Linked DNA regions of Caenorhabditis elegans. The protein of the gene in region 1 interacts with the protein of each later gene in a pairwise test. Each region holds a gene or a part of one and is shown in the gene's direction. Other genes may lie near its edges.

What was found.
Region 2: the proteins of unc-15 (region 1) and unc-98 interact in a two-hybrid assay, tested with the Caenorhabditis elegans proteins (one study listed by BioGRID).

The regions. Positions count from the first base shown.
Region 1 is NC_003279.8:7,375,075-7,387,075, reverse strand, and holds unc-15 (Paramyosin), read left to right. Parts: upstream 1-3,878; 5' UTR 3,879-3,992; coding exon 3,993-4,109; intron 4,110-5,245; coding exon 5,246-5,302; intron 5,303-5,348; coding exon 5,349-5,435; intron 5,436-5,504; coding exon 5,505-5,615; intron 5,616-5,662; coding exon 5,663-5,718; intron 5,719-6,789; coding exon 6,790-7,009; intron 7,010-7,316; coding exon 7,317-7,421; intron 7,422-7,543; coding exon 7,544-8,475; intron 8,476-8,524; coding exon 8,525-8,654; intron 8,655-8,703; coding exon 8,704-9,480; intron 9,481-9,754; coding exon 9,755-9,781; 3' UTR 9,782-10,189; intron 10,190-10,254; 3' UTR 10,255-10,472; downstream 10,473-12,001. Other genes in the region: col-35 (Nematode cuticle collagen N-terminal domain-containing protein), read left to right, coding at 141-1,169. UniProt on the Caenorhabditis elegans protein: Structural component of the muscle thick filaments which is involved in assembly and organization of sarcomere myofilaments. Involved in ovulation.
Region 2 is NC_003284.9:7,569,097-7,578,863, reverse strand, and holds unc-98 (Zinc finger protein unc-98), read left to right. Parts: upstream 1-5,274; 5' UTR 5,275-5,289; coding exon 5,290-5,313; intron 5,314-5,361; coding exon 5,362-5,439; intron 5,440-5,529; coding exon 5,530-5,640; intron 5,641-5,870; coding exon 5,871-5,939; intron 5,940-6,487; coding exon of another isoform or gene 6,488-6,507; intron 6,508-6,728; coding exon 6,729-6,863; intron 6,864-6,905; coding exon 6,906-7,088; intron 7,089-7,891; coding exon 7,892-8,224; 3' UTR 8,225-8,490; downstream 8,491-9,767. Other genes in the region: pcyt-1 (Putative choline-phosphate cytidylyltransferase), read right to left, coding at 1-96, 6,488-6,507; Apyrase apy-1, read left to right, coding at 9,144-9,254, 9,301-9,444, 9,561-9,625, 9,694-9,767. UniProt on the Caenorhabditis elegans protein: Probable transcription factor required for muscle structure.

The DNA.
Region 1 (12,001 bases):
TAAAACATAAAACTAGATATCAAACGGTTGTGTTGTAATAAAAGATGAATATCGGAACAAGAAACCGATTGGATCAGTACAAAAATAATTCATATATAAGTAAGTGGAAATGGAAGAAAACATCACTCATTTGGTATCCAATGTCCCACAGTACATCCTATTATTTTATTCTTTCGTCGACGATCGGCTGCTCGTTGATCGTTGTCGCATCATTGCTGACTCTTTACTCAATTTCTCTTGATATTCAACAATTTGAAATGAATATCAACAGCGAAATGGTTCATTTCAAATCTCGAGCCAATGATGTTTGGAATAAAATGGTTCGAGAAAATCTTCCTCAGAATCAAGCAACGTCTCCATCATTTGGAAGATATATTCTTGCAAAGAGAGCTGCTGGATATGCAACCGGCGGAGGTACAGAAAGAGAATGTAACTGTGCTGCTCAATCAACTGGTTGTCCAGCAGGACCACCAGGAGCACCAGGAGAAGATGGAGCGCCTGGAGAGCCTGGAACCGCTGGAACTGATGGAGAGAATGGAGCTGCAGGAGTTGCTGATAGTTTCCTTGGAGTCGAAGGTAACTGTATCAAATGTCCTGCTGGACCACCAGGGCCACCGGGACCAGATGGAAATGCTGGACCAGAAGGACCATCAGGAGCTCCTGGAGCTGATGGAGATGCTGCTGGACCAGGAGAAGCTGGACCAGCAGGACCAGCCGGACCACCGGGGCCAGATGGGCAGCCAGGAGCACCAGGACCAAATGGACAACCAGGAGCCGCAGGAACTACAAGTACCAACGAACCGGGATCTCCTGGACCGGCTGGACCTCCAGGACCAGCTGGACCAGCTGGAGAAGACGCTGCTGCTCCAGAATCCCCACCAGGACCACCGGGGCCACCGGGCCCACCAGGAAAAGACGGAGAAGCAGGAGCTCCAGGAGCGCCAGGAGGGCCAGGAACAGATGGAGCACCAGGAGTCGACGCCGCCTATTGTCCATGCCCACCAAGAACAGCAGGATTGGCCCAAGAAGCTCCAGCAGGTGCTGCTACAGGTGCGGATGCAAGCTCTGGAGCTGCCGGTGGTGCACCGGATGCAGGAGCTGGAGCTGGAGATGGAGCCACAGGAACATACAGTGGAAGCGCTGTCGTCCGTCGTCGTGCTCGATTCTAATCAACTTAAATTTTTCTGGAATGTGATGAATTTTATTGCAATAAAATTTCTTCAAGCTAAACAGTATTGATTTTATTATTTTCAGCTGTAAACATTTGATAACATGAAACAAAAAATCATAGCAAAACCACATAAGCTCCTCTCGGTGCTTTCGAATTATTTTAGATATTTGTATAATATCAGAACAGTAACTTTCAAATGATTTCGAAACTATCTTCAAATACTCAATTCCGAAATTTTTAAAATTTTTTTCAAACAAATTTTTTTTTTCTAAAATCTGAACATTTTGACATGTTCCCTCTAATATTCTTTTGAAGATTGATCTCATGTTTCGGCTGAAATTTTTCATTATCGTCCTCCTTTGCTGAGTATCTATATCTCTTTTCCTCCCAGTTGCCAATACTTTAAAACAATAATGCGGGGCCGAAAAATGCTTCTTCATTCTTGCTCCTCGAGTAGCACAGAGAGAAAGATCCTCTGTGCTCCCGGACCCTTCTGCCATTTCAACGAAGGCACAAAAAGAAATGTGATAGAGAAGCATGTGTAGTAGAAGAAGAGTGTGAGATGTGGGCTTGTCACTGAAGAGTTCAGAGAGTGTACGGTGGCAAAAAAAGATATTGAGATGGCAGTGGAGACCGATGAGAGAGAATGGGCGGCTTCTGGAGGGAATTCTATTGAAGAGATTCTTTGTAATGATCACGAAAAAAATGGATGGACAAAAGATGGAAAGGTGACAAATATATAGCTATTAATCAAAATTGCATAACTTAAAAATATGCAAATATCTTTAAAAAATGTTGTTTTTAGATCTTCTCCTAATAAAAGGAATAGTGCTAAAAACAAAAAAGATAAAATGAAATACGGTCTACAAGTATATTTCACTTTAACATGTTTCACTGCATAAATCTGGAAGATATCAACAAATTAAAATGCTTTGATCTACCTTTGTTTTGGATAGTTGTCTACAAAATGATAAATCCAGTAGTTCCAAGTTTCTATCTTGAGAGAAAACTTACAGCATTATTAGCATATATTCTCGAAGTTATGTTAAAAATAATTTTAACAAGCGGCAGCACTGCTAGAAATCTTGTGGAAATCGTATGCAAGGTTTAACCAAAATCTGGCCTTACTAAAGTCTAACAAAAACTATTCAAAGGTATGTCCACTCTTTGTAAAAGTTAAATATAAATGGTCTACCGTTTTCTATTACATTTTATAAGTTTTTGTCACGTTTTGGAATGGAAATGTGCGACAATCGATATTTCCTCAGAAAGTTGTTAGCGGGGTAAAACCATCCTAGTTTTTGCAATCAATAAACATCAACTTACAATGTTCAAGATTTTTTCTTTATAATCAAATCTGAAATTAAGTTCAAACGAATGTCAGTACATTTCACCATCCCCTGCTTCTGCAACCAACTAATTATCTCGGTCATCACGATTTGTCAGCTGACACTGCTCAACAAGAGTATTTTGTTGTCTGGTTGATCAGTCGTAATGGAAGTAAAATTCTGAAAATTTAGAAAAGATTTTGAAATTTCACAACACTTATTTAAAAATGACATGAGTCACAAGAAGTAACGGGATTTGGAGTGAAAACGTTGATTTTTTGACGTCATGACACAATTTCAGTTTGAAAATCAGTTTATCAAGCCTATTTTTCATTAATGAAAAAACATTCGGAAGAGCCGATATATTGGAAATTGAATACCAAGTTATTATAGAAGTAATAAAAACTTGATTTCATCACAATTTGTTGTGATACGCTCCCCCACCCCCTCACACACGCACACACACACACATTCTCCGGGATACACTCAATTATTACACACTTCGCACTTATTTCTTCAGAATATGAGATCCAAGAACTTTTTAAAACATTGATCAGATCATATATGACAAGGCTATCAATTAAGGAAGTGTATTAATAGATATGGACAAGAAGAGAGCATAACTATCTGTAATTAAGGAATTTCAAATAGTTGACAACCGAGTTTTGGAATTCTTCAATATTTCGACTGTATAGACGTATTACCATTAATAGAAGACTTTTATAAATTTATGAAAATGGATCATCTAAAAGGTAACAGTATAGTTCTGAGAAACTTTAATGAAAATTGGAGACAACCCAGGCTTGAAGAGCCTGAATAAAGTAAGAGTTGATTACTGATAGGTGGAATGGCATTCGATTAATGGCAGTTCAGTCTCGCTTTTTCTGGTTTTGTGTTTCTTTTTTCTTAAGTGGTCTTCGTTTTACTATCCGTTCGTCAAAGTTCACACCTGCCCTTTCGGACATTCAAAAGGCACACACAAACACGAGTTGAAGTTTTTGGTGGATCCCGATGTTTTTTGTCTGTGCTCATCCCTTTTTGCTGAATTTCTTCCGTGTCGCCTCAACCCGAACCAAACCAATATCATTCGAATGTTTAAAACCTCCTGGCCCGCGGGTGCCTGATGCATCGTCTGCGCTTCGGCTCTCGGCGCGCTCTTCTCGAGATCGTATCCCGCCAACTCGTTGGCAAAAACACAATGGCATTTATCAGATACGCAGCGTAGAGTGGGAGGGTGGCTCAGTGCTAGGCAAGAAGGATTACACTGAGGCTCCTCTCTCGCTCCCTGCCGGGCACACTACCTTCGTAGAAGTTGATGATGAGAGATACTTGGAGACAGAGAGACGATCGACGACGCAACGGCGCGGGATGAGATATGTGTGTATGTGTCTTCCCGACGGCAGAGCCCCAACGCACAATCAGTCAGTCTCGAAGCAGCCAGCCAGCCAGCAGCACACACAGGGGCACCATCCATTTGAATACTCCATTTGATCATGTCATTGTATCGTTCGCCATCCGCTGCTCTTCTTAAGAGCCCGTCGCAAGCAGCGTTCGGTGCTCCATTTGGCAGCATGTCCGTCGCCGATCTTGGATCACTCACCAGACTCGAGGTAAATTTTTGAATGTTTTCTACCATTTCTGAACATTTCACTGCCAAAACCCCAAAACCCGTGTTCCATTTTTCATCGAATCGATGTTTCATTGACTGATATTTTGAATTATATCTGTAATTTAAATTTTAGTAAAAAAGGCATCTAATATAGCAACGAAGAATTGAAAAACTTGAAAAATCTCAAATTGTAGTTTTACAGTACTCCTCAGTCTCAAGAAAAATGTTTGTTTTGTCCCTAAATTGAATGATTGACAAATAACGGCGTTTTCAGTTTTGTAAATATTATTTTTCTGCATCAAAATGTATGGAATAAAACAATATTCCGAGCCAAAACACTATTTTCAGAAAAATTTTTAAACTTCCTAGTTTTCTCTATAATTAAACCTTTAGATTCCTTATTCTAAATCTTCATTTTGAAAAATCTGTTCATCATTCATCTCGGCAACTAGTTTCTTTGTGTAACTAAGATTTGCAACCTTTGTTTAACTTACTGCTTGCTTACATATATTTCCAAGAAAAAGTAGAACCCTAATTCTCAGATTTTCAAATATAGCACTTATAAAAAACAAAAATTACGCTTTTTTTCTTTGAAAAAACAATTATTTTTTGACCCCATATTTTCTCATGGTTCTAGCTACTGAATTTGCGATTATTGCCAATTGCCTGCAAAAACATTTTGTCAATTAAAATAAAAACAATTACCAAATCATTCGCTGGTCTATTTCCAAAAAATGCACTCTACGTCTCTCATATCTATAAGCTATTTTCACGTTTCTCTTATAATCTCCCACACTGTGTTGTAAAATTTCGAAGAAACCTAATGCATTATTTGTTAAGCTTAGATATCAATTCAAAAAAAAAACTAAATGGTAATATCGAATTGTATGCTACGAGTGTATTCTTGTCGTTTGATCTCAAGAAATTCCGGGACATTTAAATTTGTGACGTCAGGATGTTTATCTTCACAGTACTTTAAAAATATTCCCCACTCGGCACTAAATTTATAGGTCCGTGTAATAAGGTTCATCAAGAAGTTCAATCAGAATCGGAATCCATACTTTTTTTATCTGAATCAGTTCTTGAAACAATTAATTCTTCAAAGATTTTACAAATTAATACAGTTTCACTTTTCAGGACAAGATCCGTCTTCTCCAAGAGGATTTGGAATCAGAGCGCGAACTCCGCAACAGAGTGAGTTTTTACCTTTTATCTCTGATACCATGATTGCCATTTTCAGGTTGAACGTGAGCGTGCCGATCTCTCCGTTCAAGTTATTGCTTTGACTGACAGACTCGAGGATGCCGAGGGAACCACCGACAGCCAAGTGAGTTTCCAGTTTTTATGAATTTCAATTTAAAGAAACATCTTATACCTTTAAACATTATAATTACAGATCGAATCGAACCGCAAACGTGAGGGAGAACTCTCAAAGCTTCGCAAGCTCCTCGAGGAGTCTCAACTTGAATCCGAAGATGCCATGAATGTTCTCCGCAAAAAGCACCAGGTACAGTAATCTTTATGCTATAGCTTAAAGAATTCGTGAAATTTTAGGATTCCTGCCTCGACTACCAAGATCAGATCGAGCAACTCCAAAAGAAAAATGCCAAGTAAGTTATTATCTTTATTTTCTAAGTTTTTTTTCGTATTAGTACTTGTGCCTTCATTTTCTTCTTCTTCTTCTTCTATCTTCCCGCGTTGAAATGGCAGCGGAGGAGTTGGCGGCTCGGCAGAAGCTCTGAAGAAGAAGTATAAGAAGATGAAGAAGCATCAGCTCAAAGTGTGTAAAATAACAAACGTTTCTCGTGTGTGTGTGTTTGTTTCGCCTTCCAGGAAGAGATGAGAGAGATACAAGAATGTCTGCGTCTTACTGATCTTCTCAATATCTCTCACATTTCTCTCATTGATCTTGATGCTTGGCGAGCAATCTGCGTTCCCGTGAAACAGTGGTGGTGGTAAAAAATAATGAGATTAAGTTGGGATGAGAAGTTGAGATGAACGGGAAGGGGACAGCTTGAGAACTTGAATGACGAATGCATGAACATATTATAGAATATTTAAAAATGTAGTAAGGATCAAACATTATTTGTTTCATAACAAGGGGTTGCTAGCCTAGTCTTGCACCTCCTATCCTCTAGTTTTACAGCTCATATCTCGGTTATTTTTCATTTATGAACACATTTCAACAACAAAAATGCGTGAGAAATCCTGTATATTAATAGGAAAAATACTGTATTTTTCCCATTTAAATTACGATGGATTCATTTTATGATGTCTCTTTTTTTTGCTCAAATAACTTTCAATGAAATCAAGGAAAATCTTCCGTAATTTAAAACACATTTCTAGAATCTATGTTAATCTTTTAAACAATGTACATAGATGATCTATTCAGTTGTAAAATAAGTTTTAGTTGTTCCCTTCTTGCGTTCAAAAATCTTCGAGTTCAACTTTCCCATGAAAATAATTGTGTGCAACTCTTGACGTAATGTTTTTAAATCCAAAATTAGTTTATACTTTTCCACCCACTATCAATAGTTTCACCTGTCCAAACCGGCTGCTTTCTGACATCATTCATAGCCAAACATATTGTTGACACATCAAGAATTACTTGTTCGCCGCTGCTTGACTTTTTGTTAAATTCCAAATATCCTCCCATCCCACGCAATATCATCATCATTCAGGATCGACCGCGAACGCCAACGCGTCCAACACGAAGTCATCGAGTTGACCGCCACTATCGACCAGCTCCAGAAGGACAAACACACCGCTGAGAAGGCCGCTGAGCGCTTCGAAGCCCAAGCCAACGAACTTGCCAACAAGGTCGAGGACTTGAACAAGCACGTCAATGACCTCGCCCAACAACGTCAACGCCTTCAAGCTGAGAACAATGATCTTCTCAAGGTTTGTTTTTTGAAGTATCATGTGTATAATCTCTAGTTTTATCATCTTTATCACGTGCCACCGATCACTCTGCTCATCTTTCTACTTTTTTTTAGCAAAAAAATGCGGTAAAAAGAAAAAAAGAAACCCCTTTTAACAGGGGGTTTCTTTACTAAATTCTCTATTTTATCGCTACTATTTCCGCAGAGTGTGTGTGCAAATAGAGTACTCGAGATATTAGAAAGGAGGATGCTCTGTGAGCCTCATCGTTTTTTTGTCTCGTTCAGTGTGTTCTGTTAGCAGATCAGGGATCGTTAATGTTTTTCAGGAGGTTCACGACCAGAAGGTTCAACTCGATAACCTTCAACACGTCAAGTACACCCTCGCTCAACAGCTCGAGGAGGCCAGACGTCGTCTTGAGGATGCCGAGCGCGTAAGTCTACTAGTCCAAAGTGCCAAATTCAGAGGCGGAAATATCGGGTTTCTTCCTCTGACGCATTTCTGGACATTAAAAAAGCATAAACGTGCGAAGATCAAAGAACGTTGAAATTTCAGGAGCGCTCCCAACTTCAATCTCAACTCCACCAGGTTCAGCTCGAGCTCGACTCGGTCCGCACCGCTCTCGATGAGGAGTCGATTGCCCGTTCCGATGCTGAGCACAAGCTCAACCTTGCCAACACTGAGATCACCCAGTGGAAGAGCAAGTTCGATGCTGAGGTCGCCCTTCACCACGAAGAAGTTGAGGATCTCCGCAAGAAGATGCTCCAGAAGCAAGCTGAGTATGAAGAGCAAATCGAGATCATGCTCCAGAAGATTTCTCAACTCGAGAAGGCCAAGTCTCGTCTTCAATCTGAGGTCGAGGTTCTTATCGTTGATCTTGAGAAGGCCCAGAACACCATTGCTCTCTTGGAGCGTGCCAGAGAACAACTCGAGAGACAAGTTGGAGAACTCAAGGTCCGTATCGATGAGATCACTGTTGAACTCGAAGCTGCTCAACGCGAACTCCGTGCCGTCAATGCTGAGCTCCAGAAGATGAAGCATTTGTACGAGAAGGCTGTCGAACAGAAGGAGGCTCTTGCTCGCGAGAACAAGAAGCTCCACGACGAACTTCACGAAGCCAAGGAGGCTCTTGCCGACGCCAACCGCAAGCTCCACGAGCTCGACCTCGAGAACGCCCGTCTTGCCGGAGAAATCCGTGAGCTCCAGACTGCCCTCAAGGAGGCTGATGCTCAACGCCGTGACGCCGAAAACCGCGCTCAACGTGCCCTTGCTGAGCTCCAGGCTCTTCGCATCGAAATGGAACGTCGTCTCCAAGAGAAGGAAGAAGAGATGGAGGCTCTTCGCAAGAACCTTCAATTCGAAATCGACAGACTTATTGCCGCTTTGGCTGATGCCGAGGCCCGCATGAAGTCCGAGATCTCTAGACTGAAGAAGAAGTACCAGGCTGAGATCGCTGAGCTCGAGATGACTGTTGATAACCTTAACAGGTAAATACTAATTTTTTCAACATTCAACCCTTAAATTCATAAATTACAGAGCTAACATCGAAGCCCAGAAGACCATCAAAAAGCAATCGGAGCAACTCAAGATTCTCCAAGCCTCATTGGAGGATACTCAACGTCAGTTGCAACAAGTTTTGGACCAATATGCCCTCGCTCAACGCAAGGTGAGTTATCATTTTTGTGGTCTCTTAATTCATTTTTATATATGTTTAGGTCGCCGCTCTCTCTGCTGAACTCGAGGAATGCAAGACCGCTCTCGACAACGCTATCCGCGCCCGTAAGCAAGCCGAGGTTGACCTCGAGGAAGCCAATGGACGTATCTCCGACCTTATCTCCATCAACAACAACCTCACCTCCATCAAGAACAAACTCGAGACTGAGCTCTCCACCGCTCAAGCTGATTTGGATGAGGTCACCAAGGAACTCCACGCCGCTGATGAGCGCGCCAACCGTGCTCTTGCTGATGCTGCCCGTGCCGTTGAACAACTTCATGAGGAACAAGAACACTCGATGAAAATCGATGCCTTGAGAAAGTCTCTTGAGGAGCAAGTCAAGCAACTCCAAGTTCAAATTCAAGAAGCTGAGGCTGCCGCTCTTCTCGGAGGAAAGAGAGTCATCGCCAAGTTGGAGACCAGAATCCGTGATCTTGAGACCGCTCTTGATGAGGAAACCAGAAGACACAAGGAGACCCAGAATGCCTTGAGAAAGAAGGATCGCCGCATCAAGGAGGTTCAACAACTCGTTGATGAAGAGCACAAGAACTTCGTTATGGCTCAAGACACCGCTGATCGTCTTACCGAGAAGCTCAACATCCAGAAGAGACAACTTGCTGAGTCCGAGTCCGTAACAATGCAAAACCTCCAGAGAGTCCGCAGATACCAACACGAGCTCGAGGATGCTGAGGGCCGTGCCGATCAAGCCGAGTCCAGCCTTCACCTCATCCGTGCCAAGCATCGTTCATCTGTTGTCACCGGAAAGTCATCCTCCAAGGTATTTTAATTTTCTTTTTTTGTTGAAAATACTTTGATTTGTCAATACTTTAGATTTTATGTTAAACGCTCATAGTTAGAATAGACAAATACTTTAATCAAAAATGGTTCTAATTTCAATAAGAAAATTTCAAGAATTGTTTTTGTCTGTGTCGGAAAACAGAAATCCTGAGCAACTACTACTTATCATTTTATCTTTAAAAAAATTTGTTCCCAACACCTTAATTATTTTACGTCACTTGTTTTTCACATTTTTCGTTTGTTTTTTCTTGCAGATTTTCGTCACGGAAGACGATTATTAAACATCCCAAAAAGCGTCGCCATACATCAAATCATCAAATAAATTGCTAATAAGATGTGTATAATTGTTTTATTTTTCTTCTCTATTTCTTTCATGTTCTTCTTCTCTTTCTTTTTAAATTTTCAATTATTTCTCTCCCCAACAAATGCGCCCATCCGCTTTTTCTATCGTTCTTCCATCACTAAATCTTCTCGACTATCTTTTTGTTCTGTCCCACTGCCCCTCGTGCTTCTGACTGACTGTCCCCCAATCAATATTTCGAACAATTAGGTCAATCGAGCGACATCATTTCCCACCCACAATTCATGTTTTCCCATCAATTTTTAATACAAATTTATTCAATGTTCCATCCAAACCATCCCGAGTCCCTGGTTGCATAAGAAATCGTCGTCAATAAAAATTTTGATACAAATTAAGCCTGAAATTTCAAAGTAAAACAATAAAATCAAAGTCTTGACGAGATCGCTACCTGCAGATGAGATGATGCAATCGCAACCAGGATACGGTAGAAATTGTGGTATGCGCTGTTTTCTTCTCATATCCCATTACTTTCCTACTTCTCTTCAATTTTAATATTCAAAGTTTCGCCTAGATGATAATTTTTGTTGTTTTATCCAATCAGTTTTTATCATTCGGGCCACAAAACACCCCCGTTTCACAACAATAAAAAATGTTAAAAACAAATTAAAAAATATTTTATTTCAAACATTATTGCTCCAAGTCTGAAATTATTCCAGATGGAATCACATCCGAATAGACTTTAAAGTTAGAGAAGCGCCCGTGAGAGCTGTGATATTTGGTAATTTCAGTAGAATAAGATAATTTTTGGAAATTATGCCAAAAATCCAAAATGTCATTTTTCATGAAGAAGGTAATTTCTTTTTATTGTGAAATTCGCTCTGAAGCATTTTTGAATTGGTTCCATATTTTGAAAGCTTCAAAATGGTGTAAAAAATAAATAAGATGTATTTTCAAAGTTCACGATAATAACCCGCTTGACTACTTTCAAAAAAAATTGTTCTAAGAATACCGGAAAGTGTATGGAGTCTGGAAACTGAAAAACACTGAAATATAACATTTTGATTAGTACTTGAAAAATAGCAATAATTGAATATACATTTTAAATTAAAAGTGAACTCAATATCATATTTTCTAGGAATTCTTATTTTTATAGACACTTTTTATAGATTGTAAAACAATTTCAGAATCAATTTTATAAATTGTTTATTGTTTATAGCACATTGTTCCCATAGAGCACATTATTCAATTATTTTGTAATAATTGAGAAAGCTACATTTCAATTCGGTTACTCTCGATGTTCAGAAAAACAGAAATAAACTAATTGCGTAAATAATTCTATTTGGCCCGGTGCATTTAATAGATTAATCATTGAACAAAAGACCAAATAGAACTCAATTTCAAGTATTGTTTAAAAATTATGAAATGATCAATATAAAAATATCTTAAAAAAGGTAAATGCATTATTATTTTTCAAAAATTTCTTTTCAAATTTGCAATTACGTTTCATATTCCATGAGTTTTGGAAACATTTTTACTTTAGTAATTCTTCAAGAATCTCGAATTTTAATGTAGAATTTGGCTAATAACCAGGTATTCTTGGAAGTTCTCAAAATAATTCTCAATCAGCATCGTTAAACTTTTGCAATGAGCTCAAGATCTCAACCATAACATGGGAGGTACAAGGTTCAACATGTCACGTATATATTTGTTGTGTACGCACGTAATTTTGCAAGAAGGATGATGTAATGCTAAAGATGGATTGACGATACACATTTCCATCACCATTATTCCGATTATTTCTGCCAAATTCCCCAGTTTTTTTTAACAAGAATCGATCTGTAACAAAAAATTGTGTACTGTATTTTTGCAATTTTCTGAAACCTACGAACATTTGAATGGACCTCGCTCCGCAAAAAGTGTATATGGTAGCCCTTTTTTAAACTTTGAAAAAGCATAATACGCGGTACCTAGACAACATTGTTTTTTTTTAATCAGAAAATATTAAATGTCAAAAAAATGCTAGAATTGTTTGAAAATAAATATCTTGGCACATGGGTATCTGCATTTACATAACTCATTAATCTTTTCACACCCATACACAAAATGAATGGCGCTTATTTCCGGAAAAGGAATCAAATGATGGGTGAAAGGGGGCGATATTTTTGATGAAAAACACATGTGCACTATGAGAGATTCAATT
Region 2 (9,767 bases), on another chromosome or scaffold:
GACCTGACAACGTACTCCACTTCCGTCGCCTTCTTCTTCACCTCCACATCTTCTTCTTGTGGTGAGTCCATTGTTCTCTTTCGTTGTGGCATCTTTCTGAACGATCAACGGTTAAATATGAAACTTGTTAGGAATTTAATTTTGAAGCGAATAACAAAATAGAAACACAAAAGTTTGTGTAGACTAGAAAACAAGGGGGAGTAGACATGGTTTTTTATTTTCTCATTTGGAGAAGCACACGAAATTGCGAAGTACGTGTGTTCTACTTATCAAAAGGCGTAAAAAAAATTGATAAGCGCAACGCCTCAAGGGCGAAAGTCTTCGGTTATCGTGCGATTCAGAGAAATCGCACCATTTTCTACTTCCAAAGTTTCACAATCGACCTAAGCCGAGCCTGACAAAGTGTGCAACGCCACGTGGGCAAATTTTTAAAGAAGTGATGTCACAAATTTAAAATTCTGTGAGTTGAAGCCACGCAAAACGTGCCAATGGAGAGTGCGTGCAAAAATTTTCGAATTAGAGAACTAGTGAAAATAAGGGAAGAAGCGGTGTTAGAAAGGGTCGATGGAGAAGGCGAATGGGGGGAAAAAAGACGCTGGACGGAGCGGAAAAAGAAACATAAAAGATGAACGTGGCACATTGCTTTTTTGCTTTTTTGAGTTCCCTTTTTAAGCGATGTTTTCACAGAAAAATAGTTTTTCTTAACAAAGGCTTTTTTTAAGTTTTGAAACTTTTTTTTGAGTTGACAAACTCTTTGAAAATCTAAAATCTGACGTGAACATTATACGCATAATTTTAACTCTAAAACTACAACAATAAATGGAAAAAAATGTCTCAGCTAATGCATTAATTCTTTGTTGTTTGTTTCGAGTTTCGCAACACACAAGAGAAAATGGCAAAAAAAATATGTGACACATGGGCAAACAGAACTAGTGATGGGACCCAGGCAACTAAAGAAAAAATGTTAGCATTTATATTTTTTGTTTTTTAGCATCTTCCGAAAAAGCGTATAATTAAGACGCTGTAAGGATAAGAAGCAGAGAGACACAGAGAAAAGAAGAAAAAAAAACAAAACAACTTGAGAAGACGACAAAAACCAAGCAGAAGGGCAGCCGAACAGAGCGCAACACGCGGCGAACAGCCATCTGGGCAATGAGCCACCAGGTTATACTACTACATTCGTTGTGTTTGTTTGTGTGGTCGAATGACACCACGCACAAAAAAATGGAGGCCACGGGAAATGATGGGCCAAAGAGAGAGAGAGAGAGAGAGAGAGGTGGTAAAGATGAAGAAGAAGATTTGAATGCGCGATTAGAAAAGAAAGTCACAGATGAGTCATTAAAGAAATTATGAGAAGGTCTAAGGAATTGAAATGTTTGTGTCTATTCTTGCCAGAAAATATAAATTTTGGCTTTCTGGTGCCTTTTAGATATTGGAAGTTTTATAAACATTTTTCTACATCCAGTTAACAGTGGAGTATCACCAGTAGGGACATTCTTAAAAAAACACTTCAATTGTGCAAAAATTACAAAATTTCATAGTGAAACCTTTCGAAAAAATATACAAAAGGTTTATTGAGAGTTACTGATATTGCTTTTTTTTGAGAAAACTATAGACTGCCGCATGTTCGAATCCCTACAATGGGGGAATATTAATATTTGTATTTGAAATTAATGTTGAAACATAAGTACTTACTTACTTACTTACTTAGTAGACTATAAAATACCAATGTAAAATTGTTTGATCGAAGACTACCAAAACAGTGGCAAGAAATTAGTAAAGATCATTTTAAAACAAAATAACAACTTTTCAACAACTTTTTGAAAATTTTACTTTGATATTGGATTAAACTGACACCTTATAAGTAGTTTTAACAACTTCCCTAGTGGTGCTACTTCACTTTTAACAAGTCTGTAGAATTTGGCACCTGACGCGGTCATTATGAATAAGATCGTGGCGAGACCCAAAAACAACGTGTGCCTTTTAATTGTTACGTCAAAGTTTTTTTAATTGATAAGTCAAAATTATGATAGCAGTTTCATTTGCATTTCTAAAAACTTATAAAAAAACACAAATTGTCAGATTAAAACTAAACTTAAATTCCACATCTTAAAAAGCACTTGTTATGAACGATAATTTTGGATAAACTTTATTTATTTACATAGGTATATAGTATTTATCTCATTAGTCTTGTTTGCCAAAGTGGTACTGTCATTGTTGTTATCAACAATACGCGTCAAAGAAAATTTTTGAAAAACTATTTTAAGTGATCATAGATTTCAAAGAATGGATGTGATATACCAATGATAAATACATTGATAACGTTTGGAAAACACTATTAATCATAACAACACATACTTCACCTTGTAAATTATTTTATTGCAGAGCCACCAAAGTTTCTTCAAATATATAAGATTCCGTTGGTTGACCCCAACTGCTCAAAAGTTTAATTGAAAAAAAACGGCAAGATAAATTTTTATTACACAACTTTTCTGATAGAAGTTTTGCTCCTAGTGTTAGGATTCTTGAACACCCATTACAACTCCAAACCCAACGGTACAAAGGTAAAAAACGAAAGTTAGTGAGGTGATTTGATTCATGCCATAATTGACGCAATAGATCTGTACTCTTAGAGGTTTCATTGACCCATCCATTATTGCTTGCCAAACGTTCTCTTATCTCATTTTCCCCTCAATCTGTCCACACTTTCTTCTCTTTGACACGAAAGAATTGAGGCCAACTGATAAAGATACAACTCAAAGAATCACTATACAAAAAGGTCATTCTTCGTGTTCATTTTTTCATGTTTCTCTCTACCATGAAAATATGACGTGCCGAGTCGGTGTAGTGCATTAAGAGCAAAAGTCAAGAGGAACCATTACAGAAAATGTTAGGGTGGTTTGCTGGGAGAGAAATTAGTTGTTTATGAGAAGAAGAGAAAAGAATGAAAAATGAGACTCTGGACTCTGGAACTACTCTGATTTCATAGCATTTGATAGCGGCCACCACTGCGGTAATGCACGTTTATTGGAAAAGATGGAATTCGGATTGAAAGTTTAATTTTCGGATTGGAAAACGATAAAGGTGATTTTAAAAAAATCATTTTCATAGTTATTCATCAACTTGAGACGGAAAGTTGGAATGTTTTCATTGACGGACTAGACAAAATATGTTGACTGTTACTTGGTAATAAAAATAGATAGAATTTGTCATTTGAATTTAAAAGTTATGAATTAAGGCATTTTATATCGAGTGTGATGGATTTCAGGTAATTCTCTGATAATAAACGCGAAGAAACCGGAAATATAGACATGGTGCGTTGTTCTAAATTCATATTCAAAATGTTCCTCTGCCCACAAAATGAAATTAATATTTGACACTAAAAACGAATGTAGTATTAAAAAAAGAACCAATAATTTGATCCTATAAAAACGTTTTAAAATGTACCAGTTTTTTTAAATTTTTATTTATTCGTTTATTAGCTTTTTACCCCTTGAAATTTATCAAGGGGTAAAAAGCTAATAAACGCTGCGAAGGCGGGGCGGGAACGTTTAACCGGTAATAATGTAGTTTTACTGTTCCATAAGGGAAGATACTTATGTAAGAAGTTTTTGTGAGGCCACAAGTACACAGTAAGTATGGAAATCTAGGAGGTCCGGCTTTTCTGACAAGAGAGGATTTTATAAAGTAGGGCTATTGGTTCGTGGTATAAACGTATTGACTCAAAATGTGCTGGAAAAAAAAAACAAATTTCGTAGTGAGTCGCTTGTTCTCTTTTAAAACTTTATATTTAGCCCGAGTAGTGAGACTGTTTCATATACCGTATTTCTTCTATTAGTCTTGCATGCAAGACTAATTTTCCATTGGTCTGTAGGGTTGCAAGACTATTAGAGGCTGCAAGACTAGTTTTCGAATGCCCCATCTTTGAAAAAATGACCTATTTTTTGTTGAAAACTTAACTCGATAGCTTGCTGAACGATAAAAATATATACTTTTGCAATATTTCATAAATTATTTGATCATTTTCTAGGTTATTTTCTCAAAAATATCAAATTTGCTGACGTTTCCGCAAAGTACTACTGGTCTTGAAAAAAGAGGGATGCAAGACTATTAGAGACTGCAAGACTAATAGAGGCTGCAAGACTAATAGAGGAAATACGGAAAACTGTTTTTTAATGAAAAAGGGTCTGGTTACTTTATACTTGTTAAAAATTTAACAATTAAATGCATTTTTGTTGTGTAAAATTTCAACATTGGTGCACTTTTAGCCCGCTTGTGATGCATGAAAGAAAGATCCGATCAATCCAGAAGGTGGTGCAGCTCCAGTAAAATGTTTATTCCAATTAAAAGTCATAAAAGTCCCACATAACCGTTTAGATTCTTGAGAATTTTCATTCAAAGTTGTGGTAAATTGCCACAACTAGAATAAGTTGAACCTATGAAAAATATTAGAGCAATTCTGCATTTTTTTAAATGTCTACAATATATGTATATACAAATGATCAAATCATAGTTAGAATATGAAACTTGTATGTAGAAAAAACTATTTTTGCCGTGTTCCAAGATTGTGATTTGTGAAAACTGAATGATAACTACCTTTTTGAAAGCAAAATTATTTTAGATTATTTATCACTGTATAAAGGAGTGATTACAAAAAATCACCCTGACCGATGCTTCACATTTAAAACAATAGCTTCATAATCCTGCATAGTTTCAAATAATAGTTTTACAGTATGTAATTTAATATTTTTACAATTCATATTGAATAATTTCTAAAATATAAACTTCGTTGATCCTTTTCGATTATTATTTCAAAAAAAAAGTACTCTTTCTTTTGTTTGTACCCACATCTCCAAATCATTTGCACGTGTTCAACGTACTACACAAAATGTATGTCACCCACAAACACTAGCATCTGTGCCATTCATTTCAGAAACATGATTCCGCTTTGAAGTTATGTCGAGCACTGCAATCTAGACGCTTTTTTTACTTGTGTCGTCAAGATCTCTTTCTTCTTTAAGACAGTTGAGCAAGATTGAGGGAGACTGCAGACACAGAAGTGTCCCGCAAAACATCCAACGAGGAAAGGAAATGAGAGAGCGGGAGCATTTCAAAAGAGCACATCAGATCCAGAGATTGCAGAGGCGATTTCTCGCATTTTTCGATCGCGACGAGTCTCTTGAGTTTACACTGTGTGTTGAGCACCCCAGCTAGCCACACCGAGCATTCTACCCTCTGACAATTTTCACCCCCATTCCGACGACTAACCGCTGATATCCAGATACAACAATGGATGACGACATCTTCAAAGAGGTATTGTTCTTGATCACTGTGAGCTTTACTTAAATTTGAATTTTTTAGGCAAGAAAGGAAAGAGATGACTTCGAAGAGTTGATGAATGCCTGTGATCTTGCCAAGATGTCCGTGAAGAACAATGAAGTGAGTTAGAGAAACCGAGAGATGACGGAAAAACCGGAGAAAAACGCGGGGGTGTCTGTATTGCGAAATGATTAAAAAAATACCTTCCAGATGGTTCATGGTCTAGAAACCTTCGGCATCAATGGAGAATCGTCAGAAAATGGAAATAAGGAAAAGCCCAAAGAGATCATGAAAGTTGTTGCCCCAACAGTTGAAGCATATGTGAGTTTGGTAAAATTTAAAAAAAAGAATTTCAGAGATTGAAATGTTTGATAGGTTTTAAGGCAAATTTTTTTAAATGTTTTTAAGATTGGATTCATACTGACATTTTTCAACCCTTGGATACAAGTGAAAAAATGTTGAATTATCTGAATAGTGTCTGAAAACGCTTAAATACTTTAAAACAGCGCCATCCTAATTTGATTTTAAAAGCATCAAGTAAATTATTGTAGGTCGGAAGTTCAAGTGCTCAAACTCCAACAAAATCGAGTGGCGGTGCTTTGGATGGCAGTGATCAACAGGTTTGTTTTATTGTTTTTATGAAGTGTGTGTTTTTGTGCATTTTTTGTTGAATAGTTCGTGCTTTGAATAATTTTTAATTAAAAAAACATTGATTAGGAATGTAGTCTATAGGTTTGTACAGGCAAAATTTCCGGAGAAAATGAAACTATATTTTTTGAGTTGTTTGAGAGAAATTGTTAATTTTTTGCTGAATTTTAGATAGTTTAGAAAAGGTTTTATTTTCTAATTTTATAATTAGCATACTAGTAAAAACTTATTTGCCAGAATACACAAAGACAAACTCAGTTCTAATTTAATTTAAATTTAGCCCATTGTCGAAGTAACCATGTCCTGTACATTTGTTGGAAGAGAAAGCTCAGCAGGATGCTAAGAAGAAAAAAAAACAAATTATGATTTTTGTTGTTTGTGATTTTATTTTTCTCTTATCATTTTCAAATACTAACTTGGAATATAATTTCTTGCTGCTCCTTATGCTTTTTTCCTTCAACCTATCCATTTCCATTCTTCTCCTTTCCCAAGCTAATTCACATGGGTATTGTTGACTTACTCTTGTTTGTGAATAAACATTTTGCTGTTGTTGTTGAAGTTGATGCGCTCACTTTCAGCACACGAACCAAATGTGCGGAATATAGATGTGAGCATTGACAGCTTGAATGTGAAAGAATGAGGGAAATGGGAATAAAAGGAAGAAAAATATAAGATGAAGGAAAAACTGAAGAAGGGAGGGAATGAAGAAGGCGTTAAATGAAAAAGAGACTCTTTTAGTCGATGAAAAGTGATTATTGCAGGAAGTGCGTCAGGACGGAACTAGTGTGCAAAAAGATGACAACGGATTTGTATTCTACAAGTGTCGTTTCTGCGGACTCACATTCAACTTCATGAACACTCTCCGTGCACACGAGAGAATACATGACGTTTCACAGGTTTTCATTCGCTGGATTACTTATAGAAACTCTTTGTTTCAGCCATATGTCTGTGGAAAATGCGGAGACTCATTTGAATTTGCTTGCCAACTGGAATATCATGCCGCTCAGCACTCAGAAATTGACGGGTACAAGTGTGAATGCGGAAGGACGTTCTTTTCTTACACGGAAATGTTATATCACAAGCACACGGACGATCCACTCGAATTGATAGGTGCTCCAGAGGTTTGTCTAATTGAGAAATCTGAGAAATAATAAATTTACTAGATTTTACTAATCAGTAGAGCTTTTTGAAACAAAATCTGAATTACGAACTTCTCGGAAAAAAATCAACAGAATCTAGCTATGGCTGTTTTAATGTTTGATTTTTTATTCTTCAGTTCTTTCGACTCAAAATCTATCAAAACCTTTTCATCCAGCCATTCGCTTTTCAATTTTGTATTTGGTTTTCATAGTCCTTGATGTGAGAAAATTGTGAACAAAAACTTTGTGTGTCTTGGCTTTCTGACGTAAAAAAAATATTTTTCTCAACAAAAAAAAATTGCTGATAGCCTGTGAGAGGGTGCAATTTGATACGACTGCACTTACTTCTTGCATCACAACTGTTAAACAGATGGAATTTCAGTGCAAAAAAAAGAAAACGTTATGAAACAGAAGTTATGAAACCGAAGAAAGTTCCAAATTTAAAAACATGTTTTGGTCGTTTACCTTACGTTGTTTTGTTAATGAAGATACGTTTCAAGCAATTAGGGACCAAAAATTACCACAATTTGCTACCTAAGTCTTTGTGACTGGGAAAAATTGAAACAACTCGAGTTTTTGACTGAAATTTGGGTATTGCCTTTTCAAAATTTTGAACCCCCATAAACAAGTTTTTAAGTAATTTTTGAGAAGTAGTATTTCAAATTTCGTTCGTTTGGTTTTGTTAAAAATCACACGGAAAAAAAGCCGAAACCGTTTTTTTACTTTAACAAGGAATACATTTGTGAGAAGAATGAAGATTACCAATATAATTTGAAATACTTCAGACAACCACAATAAAAGTAAGCAAGAAGCGAGTCCTACCGGTCTCCGAGCAAGATCTTCCACAGCCAGCTTTCGTTACTGAAGGATACGAGCCGAAGCATCCACTCCGAGTGTACAACGACGTTCGTTCAAAACCATACATTTGTGAATATTGTTCGAAAAGCTACTCTGACAGTCGTGGTCTTGCATATCACATGTACAGTCATCGTGGAGAGAAGTACTTCAATCCTCGAGCATCTCGTTATATGATGGGAAGGGAAGGAGTTGGGTACACTGATTCCAGAAGCTACTATTTATTCCCAAGAACAAGCGGATACGTGACTCCGCGATTCTGAGCAACCCCTGAGTATTTAAAATTTTTCTAATTTAGTATTTAAATCTATCCAGATCTTGTAAAATATATATATATTTCAACATCGGCTAGCTTTAACAATATTTGTCCTTCAAAATGTATATTCGATATGGTTCTTTCATATAACTCATATTTCTTTCTTTCAACTAAATCAACGTTTTTCTTTAGTGTTATCGTTTTCTCATTTCTTGTCATTTTGTCTTTTCCTCACATTTTTAAGACGCTCGTTATAAAGACGGTCAGCAGCAGAAACTCGTTTTGTGTTCAACATAAACTACAATTGACTACAAAGCACAAAAATCGTGTGTTTCCAACGCACTCAGACACACTCTATAAATACTGTTCTCGTCATGTCTTGTTGGTATTTTCTTCTTTCCCTGAAATATCGATTCCTGGTCAATCGTACAATTGGGACCATGTTAAGCGGGAAAGACATTGACCGCTAGCACAAATGTTGTCCGGCTCTCTCACAATCAATCTTTCTTCTGTGATGTGTTACGACAACCCACAACCGATTTTTTGATAGCAAAAATGATAAGATGATGATAGCGAGACAGCTCAATTGTTCGTTGTTCTAGAAGTTGTACGTTTTTTTAAATTTATTTTGCATCATTTTGAATTCATTATTTAAAAATGTATAAAATTGTTTAATTAACGGTTCTCGAAATATTTTGCCACTTCACAGCCACGATATCTCACTCAATAAAGCAAATGCAATTTGGGACACGCACTTGTGTTCGTTATTAATATCGAGTCCCCATTGAAAAAACTAGGCCACGCGGCCGTGAAGTACTCTCGGAAAACTACACCATTTTTTATTTTTTTATTCTACTTATATTTTCTCAAATCTCTTACTTTCAATTAATGCTTATAATTAAGACTCACAAAAATAATTTTTAGGTATGACACAAGAAAGTAACTCAAACTTTTTCAACTTCCTTCTTTTCGGGTTTGTGACCGCTATTGCCTTTTATTCGGGTACCCAATTCAACAAATCTAGCGAACAGGAAGAGGTAACTCTTTACATTTTCAGCTGATTGCGCACATATCCATTTACAGCACATCAACCATGCTAACTTGTATTCGGTAAAGAAGTTTGATGATGGAGCAAAAGAATACTCAATAATGTTGATCACCGATTTGGATCATGACAGCAAAGACGGGAAGAAGTGGAAAAGTTTGGTCTCTCGTGGATTTTTGAAGGTGAGAAGGACGGCAAGAAACTAATGCATTATGCTCAGCTTGACCAATATGATTTTTATAAAATGCAACTTGCTTTTTTCGAATCGCTATAGGAAATTTTCAAATTTATATTTCAGGTTTCTGCAGACCACAAGCATGCCGATATTCATTTTGACAAAGACTCGGAGTACTATGTTGACACGTAAGTTTACAAAATGTGTTTTTATAGATTTTTTTGTTTTGACTTCATTACTAAAATCATCATTTTAGAAATATTGCCGCCGGTGGACGCGCTATGGAGTTGTCTGACCTTGCCGTCTTCAATGGTAAACTGTACTCAATTG